3 linked regions of the Oryctolagus cuniculus genome follow. The protein of the gene in region 2 purifies or fractionates together with the protein of the main gene of each other region. This does not show direct contact. Links are inferred from orthologs where the notes say so. Each region holds a gene or a part of one and is shown on either strand. Other genes may lie near its edges. The genes, in order: PLCG1, KHDRBS1 and LCK.

The links.
Region 1: the proteins of KHDRBS1 (region 2) and PLCG1 purify together in Homo sapiens (affinity purification with western blotting; 7 studies listed by BioGRID and IntAct, with this or other methods). This does not show direct contact. The link is inferred for Oryctolagus cuniculus from reciprocal best matches to the Homo sapiens genes KHDRBS1 and PLCG1.
Region 3: the proteins of KHDRBS1 (region 2) and LCK purify together in Homo sapiens (affinity purification with western blotting; 5 studies listed by BioGRID and IntAct, with this or other methods). This does not show direct contact. The link is inferred for Oryctolagus cuniculus from reciprocal best matches to the Homo sapiens genes KHDRBS1 and LCK.

Annotation. Positions count from the first base shown.
Region 1 is NC_091442.1:17,778,206-17,781,847, reverse strand, and holds part of PLCG1 (1-phosphatidylinositol 4,5-bisphosphate phosphodiesterase gamma-1), read left to right. Parts: intron 1-1,214; coding exon 1,215-1,299; intron 1,300-1,396; coding exon 1,397-1,480; intron 1,481-1,705; coding exon 1,706-1,740; intron 1,741-1,953; coding exon 1,954-2,026; intron 2,027-2,130; coding exon 2,131-2,232; intron 2,233-2,456; coding exon 2,457-2,575; intron 2,576-2,659; coding exon 2,660-2,745; intron 2,746-2,820; coding exon 2,821-2,941; intron 2,942-3,623; coding exon 3,624-3,642. UniProt on the Homo sapiens protein: Mediates the production of the second messenger molecules diacylglycerol (DAG) and inositol 1,4,5-trisphosphate (IP3). Plays an important role in the regulation of intracellular signaling cascades.
Region 2 is NC_091438.1:140,421,213-140,425,312, reverse strand, and holds the start of KHDRBS1 (KH domain-containing, RNA-binding, signal transduction-associated protein 1), read left to right. Parts: upstream 1-1,195; 5' UTR 1,196-1,416; coding exon 1,417-1,798; intron 1,799-4,100. UniProt on the Homo sapiens protein: Recruited and tyrosine phosphorylated by several receptor systems, for example the T-cell, leptin and insulin receptors. Once phosphorylated, functions as an adapter protein in signal transduction cascades by binding to SH2 and SH3 domain-containing proteins.
Region 3 is NC_091438.1:140,199,589-140,203,230, forward strand, and holds part of LCK (tyrosine-protein kinase Lck), read right to left. Parts: intron 1,014-3,642; 5' UTR 1,009-1,013; coding exon 904-1,008; intron 621-903; coding exon 539-620; intron 356-538; coding exon 265-355; intron 83-264; coding exon 1-82. UniProt on the Homo sapiens protein: Non-receptor tyrosine-protein kinase that plays an essential role in the selection and maturation of developing T-cells in the thymus and in the function of mature T-cells. Plays a key role in T-cell antigen receptor (TCR)-linked signal transduction pathways.

The sequences.
Region 1 (3,642 bases), on a different chromosome or scaffold from region 2:
GGTGCTGTGGAGAGCCATGGTGGCAGCTGATAAGATCACCCAGAGGCAAGTGGCAAGAACAGGGATGCCAGCCCATCTCAGAGATTGGGGATGAATGGCGGCTAGTGTGAGCTAGTAAGAGGAAAATGGTATTGAATTCTGGCAGCCTGAGGGAAGACTGTGACATGACCCTTGGGTCAAACAGCATGGTGGGAGAGCAGCATCAGCAGAATGGTGAGGGCTCCAGGCGTGAAAGGGGGCTTGGGAAACTACTTCTGGAAGTTTGTACCGCAGAGGGGAACAGGGAGAGGTAAGCAGGGCAAGACCTGTCTTTTGGTGGGAGACAACAGACGGTTAACATGCTGATGGGAACAGTCCACAGGGAAGCTCTGGTGGCACAAGCCTTTTAGATAAGAAGGCATCTCGTTCCTTACCAGAAACTCGAAACCCTGACAGCTTTTACCTCTTGGGACTGAGGGTCAGATGAGGCTCAGCCATACTGGACCCCTGTGGAGAAGCCGAGTTCCCTCTGGTTTTACTGCTGCCTATCGGGCTATCTCCACATTTCAGAAGAGAAATCCTTTTTCTCCCATCTTGTCCATCCTGTTGCCAGGTCCAACAATATCCCCTGGCTCTCCCATCCTGCACAGGGTACCCTGGAGGGCAGGGATGCTTGCTCTCTAGAGTTCCTTTCCCATCCGACACCAGGAAAGTACCCAGTCACCAGCAGTTTCTCTGAGTGTGCCTATCCCCTCCTCCCATATTCCTTGCACTGTGGCACTGGGTGCTGATGGGGCTTGGGGATAATATGCTCCGAGGAGCAAACTCCCAGCATCCCATCATCCCACTGCTGAGCTACCCCTTGTAGGGAATTTGCCAGTGAGCCCTCCCTTGTGCCCTGCAGGGGCCAGCTGGCACCTGGAGAGCTGGAGGTACAGGCTTCAGCAGTACTGCAAGGAGGGGAGGCCAGGGGTTTGATTTTTCCCTCCTGTTAGGCCTGACCTGTTTTACTGAGCCTGGCCACTTCCTCATTGTCAGAATCATGGAATTTTCTTTGCTCATATGAGGCAACTGAGGCCCAGAGAAGGAAGAGACTTCCCTTGTCCACCTTGTGGGTTCTGATTCAGTCTCGTGCCCAGGATTCCAGATTCCCAGAGTAGTACTGATTACCTATCCAGCCCCAGGTGGGTTGGCCCACACATCAGAGGCCCCTGAGGACACACCTGTTTTCTCAGTATTTCAGCCAAAGACCTGAAGAACATGCTGTCCCAGGTCAACTACCGGGTCCCCAACATGCGCTTCCTCAAGGAGCGGCTGACGGTAAGGACCTCCTGGAGCTGTCTGCAGGGGAGGGGCCAGGGTGGCCAGAAGCCTTTGGCTGGGTGCCTGACTAGCCATCCTGCTCTGTACTGTGTAGGACCTGGAGCAGCGCAGTGGGGACATCACCTACGGGCAGTTTGCTCAGCTGTACCGCAGCCTCATGTACAGCGCCCAGAAGACGGTGCATGAGCCACCTACCCTCCCCTGCCCTGCCCTGCCTCTCCACTCCATCCTCAGCCCTGCTTGCCTCAACCCTGCTGCCCTGCTTGGGGGCTTTTGGGTGCCATTTCTCTAGCCTTTCTTCTCCTGAGGTCTGTCCCTTGCTGCCCCAGCCTCTCTTCCTAAGAGGCCGTTTCCTGTGAGGCCCCCAAGGACTTGCACCCTGACCAGGTTCTGTTTCCTGCAGATGGATCTCCCCTTCTTGGAAGCCAGCGCCCTGAGGTTTGGTTCGGAGTGGGGAGGTGGGGTTCTTTCCTGGGCCTCCCTCATCTCTGTCATGGGTACTTCCTAATCCATGTGAAAAGGGTGAGCCATGCTAGACTACTCTGGGTAGCTATGCTGGCTGGGAGTTGGCCTCTGCCTTCCAGGGGGCCCCTAGCTGTTAGCAGTGCTAGCCAACTGGCTGCCAGGCACTTACCATTTCTCTCCCTGCAGGACAGGGGAGCGACCAGATCTTTGCCGAGTGACCCTTCCTGAGTTCCAGCAGTTCCTCCTTGAGTACCAGGGGGTATGGCAGGGCTGGGGCTGGGCCAGGGTATCAGGCTTCAGGGCTGGGTTCATCCCTGACCTGAGGCCTCTCCCATGCCTTCCCTTTGTTCCCCTCCCTGTCAGGAGCTATGGGCCATTGACCGGCTCCAGGTACAGGAATTCATGCTCAGCTTTCTCCGGGACCCCTTGCGAGAGATTGAGGAACCATACTTCTTCCTGGATGAGGTGGGCTTCACTGTTATCTCTTTATGTCAGGGCGGGGGGTGGTGGTGACCAGAAGCCCAACTGAACCCCAAGAGCCAGCTTCTCAGAGATTCCTCCTTGTTACACCTGAAATCCACCTTGACCACCCCAGCTGAGGCTGAGTGACCTCTCTTCCACCCCTGTTCACCATCCCGGGGCCAGGCAGGGGCTCACTTTGTCTTCCCTTCCACATTTGTTTTGGACAGTTTGTCACCTTCCTGTTCTCCAAAGAGAACAGTGTGTGGAACTCCCAGCTGGATGCAGTGTGCCCAGACACCATGAACAACCCTCTCTCCCACTATTGGATCTCATCCTCACACAACACGTGAGTGTGGCTCCCTCAGCCCCACTCTGCCCTCTCTCGAGGAAGAGGAGCCCACCTGACCACACCCACTTCTTGCCTATCCAGGTACCTGACTGGGGACCAGTTCTCCAGCGAGTCCTCCCTGGAAGCCTATGCTCGGTGTCTGCGGATGGGCTGTCGCTGCATTGAATGTGCGTGGGGGCCAGGACCTGGGAGGGGGAAGGTGCGAGGCCTGCCCCTTTGACTGTGATAATGTTGCTTCCCAGTGGACTGCTGGGATGGCCCAGATGGGATGCCAGTCATTTACCATGGACACACCCTTACCACCAAGATCAAGTTCTCAGATGTCCTGCATACCATCAAGGAACATGCCTTTGTGGCCTCAGAGTGAGTGGAGAGGGGGTCCTCCTGGTGAACCCGGCCCCTAACTCTGACTCCTGGGACAGAGGGACCCCCTCATACCCATCCCCACTCCCCTCTCCTTCCTCTTGGCCTGCCCTCCTCTCCTTGCTCTATTTTCCTGTTAATTCCTGTTTCCTGCATCCTTGGCCCACATGGTTCCTGGCCTTTCTCTTCAACCTGAGGAACACATTTTAGCTCTTCTCAGTGTTAACCCTGGTCTCTTTATGCCAGTGACCTGCCAGTTTCTTTACTTCATAGCCTAGGGAATTACCTACATTCACTGTATCCCATTCCTAGATTCTTATTTACCACCTAACCTGTGGTCACTTGTGTCTCGCCTCACTCAAGGAATCACCAGTGGTCCCCGATAGCTAAATTAGGAGGTCTCTTACCTATTCTGACCTCTTCAGTGTAGGATATCTGCACTGCTGGGCAATCTGTGTAATTGGATTAACTGGGAACTACTTCTGTGCAGCTATTGCTACCCCAAGGCTTCCCCCTGAAAAACCCCTTCTACTTGCCAGTGGTTGTGGTCTATCTTTTCCATAGACAAGGTCCTCAGGCCCTTGTTTCCCAGTATCTTAGTCTGTAAGGGGCTGTTTGGACTGAGCCCTGGATCAGCAGAATTGCAGTGTCTGTGTCCCTGCACCCATCGTCTGTCCTGCAGGTACCCGGTCATCCTGTCC
Region 2 (4,100 bases):
GTAAAATATATTTGGGTAGGTACAAAAAATTTCGAAATCTATGCAAAAAGTCTTTAAAAATGCAACATTACAAGGATCTCGAAATTGTTTTGCACCAGATTTGTTCCCATGAACTTTTTGACATACCCTCATGTATTTTTATTTATATAACCCATAATCTGTACAAAATTTTTTATGTATTTTGTACTTTATACGTATAATTTATGGATATTAGCGTTTTGTTCTCATTTTAGTAAAAAAACGTAGCCAAGCCTTTATGTTCCCTCATTAAAGGGGTCTGAGCTTCAAATCCAGAAATCACGTTTCCAAGCACCCAGCAGGCAGTTTCCAGAGACGCTTTTGAAAGTCGCGAGCTCATTTAGGAAACAGATCCGGAAGGAAAAGGGATGGAAGGAGTACTCTGAATGGGTGAAGAAAAAAAAAAAAAAAAAAAACCTGCGGCCGGAAGGGAAAGTTAGAGACGCGCCAGGCGTTCGATGACTGATAGTAGAGACCCGGGCTCCCCCGCACGCAGCTCCCAGACCCGAGCCGGCCTCGGGCGAGAGATCCGCTGCCCAAGGCCCTCGCCTCAGCACGGCCGCCTGAGACCCGGCCTCTGCTCACTCCGCGAAATAACCGCTTCAAGCGGGAAGCAGGCTGCGACACGGACGGACTTCCCCGACTAACCACGGCTAGCGTGTCAGAACCTAGTGTGCGGGAAACCTCGGGACAGCACGGGGCTCCCTGCTACGCTTCAGGTCTCCGCCCTCTCAGTTCAAGTCTCCCAGTCAGCCGGCCGTCCCCAGCGCCACCACGCATCCCGGCGTCAGCCTCTCCCTGCGCCTCCCTCCCCGCGTGCCCCACGCAGCCAGCACGTCTTCACGCCGGTGGCCGGCCCACACCCCCCGCCCGGCTCCGCGGCTCGGCCGTTGGAGGGGGCGTGGCCCACGAGTAACAGGTCTCCCCCCCACCTCCGCCCCACGCTCGCCGCCGGCCCGCGCTCAGACAAAGACATTCCACAGCCCCCGCCCCCTCCGCGCACCCGGTCCGAAGGGGGAGGAGACACGTGTCCCGCTAGCGCCGAGTCACGTGGGAGAAAAAACGAACGGAGCCCGCGGCCGTCCGCGCACGCGCGCCAAGCTCCGGCCTGGCGGGCTCCGAGGGAAAAGAGGAGGGGGGAGGCCTCCGGTTCGGGCACCACGGCAGTGCGCAGGCGCCGTGGCCCGACTGGGGACTTTGTTCTTCGCGGAGAAACCCAAGGGCGGTGCCGGGATTTGGTGCGCACGCGCGCTGCCTCATTTCCGGTGCTCTCTCTGGCTGGGTCGCTCGGGTCGGCTTCGGTCGCTGTTGCTCCCGCTCTACCACCGCCGCCGCCAACCGCCGCCCGGGCCTCGGCCGCGTCGGTCCCCTCGATCGCTCGATCGCACATCCTCCGCGATGCAGCGCCGGGACGACCCCGCCGCGCGCATGACCCGGTCCTCGGGCCGCAGTGGCTCCATGGACCCCTCGGGTGCCCACCCCTCGGTGCGTCAGACGCCGTCTCGGCAACCGCCGCTGCCTCACCGGTCCCGGGGAGGCGGAGGAGGGCCCCGGGGGGGCGCCCGGGCCTCGCCCGCCACGCAGCCGCCGCCACTGCTGCCGCCCTCGGCCACGGGTCCCGACGCGACGGTGGGTGGTCCGGCGCCGACCCCGCTGCTGCCCCCATCAGCCACGGCCTCGGTCAAGATGGAGCCTGAGAACAAGTACCTGCCCGAACTCATGGCCGAGAAGGACTCGCTCGACCCGTCCTTCACTCATGCCATGCAGCTGCTGACTGCAGGTGAGCGGGCCTCGGGGTCCCTCGGGGTCGCTGGACCACCGGGGCGGGAGGGGTGCGGGAGGAGGTTGGCAGCGGCTTTGTTCCTCTGGCATCCCAGTCCCTCGGGACCGTGGCGGTCGGGAGCTCCCCCTCTGGCCCTCGTCTTCGGGGGCCTGAAGCCCGCCTTCCCACCCCGGCGCAGGGTTGCTGCGGGCGCCCGAAAGCGACTGGGAGATCTCCGAGCGCCGAGCTCCCCGCCCCCTTCCCGACCCTCCCCCTCCCTCCTCTCGCAGCTGCCCCGCGCTCCGAGTGCTCAGATTCTTCCAGAAATGAGCCCGTATCTCCCGCGTCCCCCCCGAGGGGAAGGCTCTTGGGTGGCGGGGAGCGCCTCGGCCGTGGGTGTCGGCGCTGCAGGCAGCCCGAGCCGGCGGGGATCGTGGGAGGCCGGAGGGCCCTGGCCGGCGCGCGGGCGTCTCGCGGGCCCGGCCGCACTTGGCCGTCACGGGAGCTGGAGTTGCGCCGAGGCACAGCGACTCGTGGGAGTCGGAGCTTGAGGTTTTCCGAATCAGATGTCCGAATCGGGCAGGTGAAATGAGGATTGTGCAGAGCCGGAAGGTTGTCGCCGTTTTATTTTACAACGTGCTTTCAACCGTCATTCAAGAAGCGGGGAAGCAGCCCTGGGGACAGTGAAATGAGATGACGGGAGGCGGTAAGGGCTGCAGGGGAGCTCCCAGGACGGGCCCCACCGCGAGGGACGGACCGTGGAGAGAAGTTGCTCGGTGCCTGCACCTGGAAGACTTGGCCTTTTGTGTTCATTCTTGCTTCCGTGGCGAGATAGATGGGAATGGTAGTCTTTGTTCTCCGCGGACGGGAGCTTCTTCCCTCGGCAGCCCTGACCCCCTCCCTAATCGCTCTGATTTCTCACTGCAGCCTCTTTTTGACCTTTTCTTATAGTTAGAAATGTTTTTCAAAGAAATATTTATTATACCTAAATGGTAGAGTAACAGTTCATGGCCTTCGACGCTGAATGAGAAGTCGGAGCCATTGACAAGATTGATACAAGGGACAGTTCATTGACAGTTCATTATGAAAATCTCATTTCCTTCCCTTTGTTCTCTCTCCCAACACTGGTAAGGGTTTTTTTTTTTTTTTAACGCAATAAACAATTAGAAAATTTCGATAAATTGCTTAAGATCTTTAACTCAGTTCTGTGCTGTCCTATATAACCACATTCTACTTTTCCTGTTTTCTTCTGACAGGCTCTTTGAGAGCAAGAATTGCTTTTTATATTTAAACATGTTTTTTGGTACTGTGCTGGACATAGCAAACTCCAGGTGTTTGAAAATGTACACATGCAAACTCAGGAATGTCAGACTAATTGGTAAAGTTTGGTTTAGCAGTCGGATTTTTAATTTTCTCAAATCTTCAGGCAGTACGCATTGCATTAAACGCAGGAGAATAAAGTACACTTTAGAGCCTAAAGGTGTTGACTTGGTTCTCAGCGCTGGCCCTTAATTAGTTACCGGCTCTGGGGAAGCTTTCTGAACCTCAGTAACCTCATTTGTAAAGTGGATGGTAAGTTTGGAAGATTAAATGATCTGTAAAATCACCAGCAGTTTCTTTTGATCTGTATCATTAGCTAGAAGAAGCTGTCACCACAATTTTTTTCTGGTTGTGAATCCATGGTAATGAACAAGGTATGAGAACTTAAGATATATTTTGCCCTTCTGACTATCTCCATTGCCCAGCGTGATGTTCATCTTTTAAGATAGTTTCTTAGGATAACCATTAAAAATCATTGATCCTTAAAGATTATTTATATTTTTCATTCTCTCACTGCTCCTTATTTTTTTTCAAACTTGGGCTTTTTTAATGCCTTTTTTTTTTAACCTAAAGAGGATGGAAATATTGAGAACAAAATTGGGTTGTGTGGATACTTCTTAGCATAGAAAAGTCTTAATGTTTGTTGGATATGGTTCTTAAGGTATTTCTAGAGAAGAGATTACAGTGAAGTCAACCAATCATAAGGAAATGAGACTGAGAAGAAAGAATAGTGTTTAATCCCTGAGAACATATATTAGAAAAACAGCTAACGTTGTGTCAGGCCCTGGATTAGAGCACTTTACATATTCATGACAACACTAGAAGTTATTCTTTTTTTTTTTTTTTTAATTTATTTGACATGTAGAGTTTACAGACAGTGAGAGAGACAGAGAGAAAAGTCTTCCTTCCATTGGTTCACTCTCCAAATGGCTGAAACGGCTAGAGCTACGCCAATCAGGAGCCAGGAGTCTCCTCCTGGTCTCCCATGGGGGTGCAGGAG
Region 3 (3,642 bases), about 220 kb from region 2:
GTTCGCTTTGGCCACGAAGTTGAAGGGGATGAAGCCTTCCTGGCCTGTGGTCAGGGACTGCGCCTTCCACCACTCCCCGTTCCTGTGCCACAGAGGCTATCAGCGCGGCCAGCCATGGACTCGCTGGAGACCCTTCTCACGACCCCCAGTCGCGCCGGGCCAGCGCCCCGGAGCTTCCCAAGGACGCCCACCCGGACCCAGTCAGGGGTCCACAGGAGGGATCCCCGCCCTTGCAGGATGTGTGGGTGGGGAGGGGGCACTCACTGCTCCAGGATACGGAGCTGTTCACCCTTCTCGAAGCCCAGGTCTCCGTCGTGAGAGGGCTCATAGCTGTGCAGGGCGATAACCAGGTTGTCTGTAAAGACAAGGGGGCTGGAGGCAGTGGCCTGGGACAGGCAGGGAGTAGGTACCGGAGTTCTGGAGTCACAGGGCAGGGGACAAGGAAGAGAGGGGCGGGACAGGGCAGAGGTGGGTGGGGAGGACTAGGGAGCCAAGGATCCACAGGTCTTATCTTCTAGGCCCCGCTGGTTTCCGTTACCTTGCAGTGGGGATGCCGGAGGGTTTGAACCTTCATAGGTGACCAGTGGGTCCCGAACCTCAGAGCCGTTCCGGATGGGCAGCTGTGGGGTGGGGGTAAGAGGGCAGAAGGCCGGGTCAGCCTCTGACTGCCTCCCCCTGCCTTGCTCGCCTCTGCTTCTCCAGTCTGGCACGGTCTCGCCCCTGAACTGGACAACCGCTTGCCTTGTGACCTTCGAAGAGTCCCTTCCCCTCTCTGGACCCCTCTGTTTCCGCATCCAGGCAGGGCCACCCTCTGATTTACAGGACCGACAATGGTGGTCCGTTTCTCCCTCTGCTGTGTGCTCCTCCCAACTCCCTCACCGCGGCCCCTGCCTGGCCTCTTACCGTGGCCTTGCCTTCCAGTGGGACTATGGGGTAGTGGCAGTTCTCACACACGTCGATGTTTTCCATCCAGTCATCTTCAGGGTTTGAGCTGCAGCTACAGCCCATGGTCCCTGGGAGAATGGAGAGGGGGTTGACAGGGCTCCCCCAGCGTCAGGCATTTCCCCAGGACCGTGAGATGCTCAGCTCCTGGGCCCCCATCCATCAGCTACAGAAAAGCTGAGACGGGGGACCCTCGCTCCTGACTGGGGGGGAGCCCCAGGGGCCACACGGAACAGCACGCACCCGAGGCTCCCCAGGCTGAGCCAGAGGCCCCGCCCTCCCACCTGGGATGGGCAAACTGCCACAGGCACCTTTGTTAGTCTAGTTACCCACTTCCTCCCTCTGCCGTTGGGGGACTACCTCCTGGAGATCACACAAACTCCCCGGAGCCCTGGGGGAGCCCTGGGTCCCCTACCACCCCCACCTCAAATACAATTGCCCTTGCAGGCAAGGAAGCTGAGCCTCTCTCCGCTCTCTCCCCGGTGTTGACAGGCAGGCCCTGCTTCCCCACACACCCACGCGGTCAGCCTCACAGAGTTCCTACACGAAAACCCTTCAGGGGCCCTGTTGGCCATAACTTGTTTTGTTTGTTTGCCTGTTACAGCAGTGGAAACTTTTGTCAGTTGAAAGCAAGCAGAACACCACAAATAAAGCCGGTCAGAGCCAGCGGATCTTCCTGCGGCAGGGCAGCGTGGCGGCCCCACTCCAAGGCCCCTAGGAGCCCTCAGGCCGCACCTTCCCTGCTCCTGAGAACCGCTTGGAAAACCCCAGGCCCTGCAGTGGGCGTGTGGAGAGATGGCTAAGCTGTTGCGTGGCACACTCGCTTCCCATATCAGAGTGCCTGGGTTCGAGTCCTGGCCCCACCGTCCACTCTAGCTTCCTGCTAATGTGCACCCTGGGAGACAGCAGATGACTCAGGCACCTGGGTCCCTGTCACTCACGTTGGGAGACCTGGATCGAGTTCCTGGCTCCTGGCTTCAGCCTGCCCAAGCCCTGGCTGTTGCAGGCATTTGGGGAATGAACCAGCAGGTGGAAGATCTCTTTGTGTCTCTCTCTGCCTCTGTCTCTTTTCCCCTATCTGCATCTTTTTTATAAATAAAATAATTTTTTTTTTGACAGGCAGAGTTAGACAGTGAGAGAGAGAGAGCAGAGAGAGGTCTTCCTTCCATTGGTTCACCCCCCAAATGGCAGCTACAGCTGGCCCCGTGTGCCAATCTGAAGCCAGGAGCCTGGTACTTCCTCCTGGTCTCCCATGCGGGTGCAGGGCCCAAGCACCTGGGCCATCCTCCACTGCCCTCCCGGGCCACAGCAGAGAGCTGGACTGGAAGAGGAGCAACCGGGACAGAATCCGACGCCCTGACCAGGACTAGAACCCGGAGTGCCAGTGCCGCAGGCAGAGTATTAGCCTAGTGAGCCATGGCGCTGGCAAAATTTTAAAAACTAGTCCTCAAAGTTTAATTTACTATGTATGCAAGACCCTTTAATACCAAGACCAAATCCACCTTCTCAGTTTGTTCTGCTATACACACACACACACACACGTCCTGTGTTCTGAACTACTCTTGCCTTTCCCAAATACCCAATGCTTCTTTCTTTCTCTCTCTCTTTCCTTCCTTCTTTCTTTCTTTAAAGACATATTTATTTATTTGAAAGTCAGAGTTACAGAAAGGAGAGGCAGATCCTCCATCTGCTGGTTCACTCCCCAGATGGCCACAACAACCAAAGCCAGGAGCCAGGAGCCCCATCCAGGTCTCCCGTGAGGGTGTAGGGGCCACAGCACTTGGGCCAGCTTTCCTGCTTTTCGCAGGCCATCAGCAGGGAGCTTGTTGGGAAGTGGAGCAGCCAGGACCTAAACCGGTGCCCATATGGGAGGCGGCGCTGCAAGGGGCAGCTTTACCTGCCACTGCCACAATGCCTCCCCCACCCCCGCTGCAATCTTTGTTCGAGTGCTGGTACCTTTGGTTCTGCTTGCCTTGGAATGCTCGGTTGTCTTCCTGCTGAATTCTAATTGGACCCTCCAGGTTCTCCCGGCCCTTGGCCTACTCTGTGAGGCCTTGCCCGGCTCTGCATTCTCCACTCGCCCCAGGCTCCTGTAAATCCTCAGACCACAGTCCTCAACTTGGGCCCTGAGTTCCATATGACTCGTTGATGGGTCAGCCCCACCCCTTAGATGAGGCTGGGTGGGGACTCACTTGCCTGAAAGCCCCCCCCCCCATACACATTCATCAATGCCAGTTGGCATGTGGAGGGTTAAACTCACAAAGGTCTTAGAAGCCATCCAGCGGCTGGCGCCGCGGCACACTAGGCTAATCCTCCACCTTGTGGCGCCGGCACACCAGGTTCTAGTCCCAGTCGCCAGCCGCGGCGGCCATTGGAGGGTGAACCAACGGCAAAGGAAGACCTTTCTCTCTGTCTCTCTCTCTCTCACTGTCCACTCTGCCTGTCAAAAAAAAAAAAAAAAAAAAAAAAAAAGCCATCCAGCCTAACATCTGTTTTTATTTGAGCAACCCTAGGCCAGAGAGGCCTGCCTAAGGTCACACAACCTGTGTGGGGAGAGCAGAACCGGAGCTGCTAACCCGTCCAGGATCTAAGTGGAGGGAGGGAGCGCTGGAAGTTTCTGGTCAGCGAGAATCAGGAGATAGGCCCAGAGTTGGAGAGACTGAAGTTCAAATGCCTGCTCTGACACTGTGCTGTTTGCCG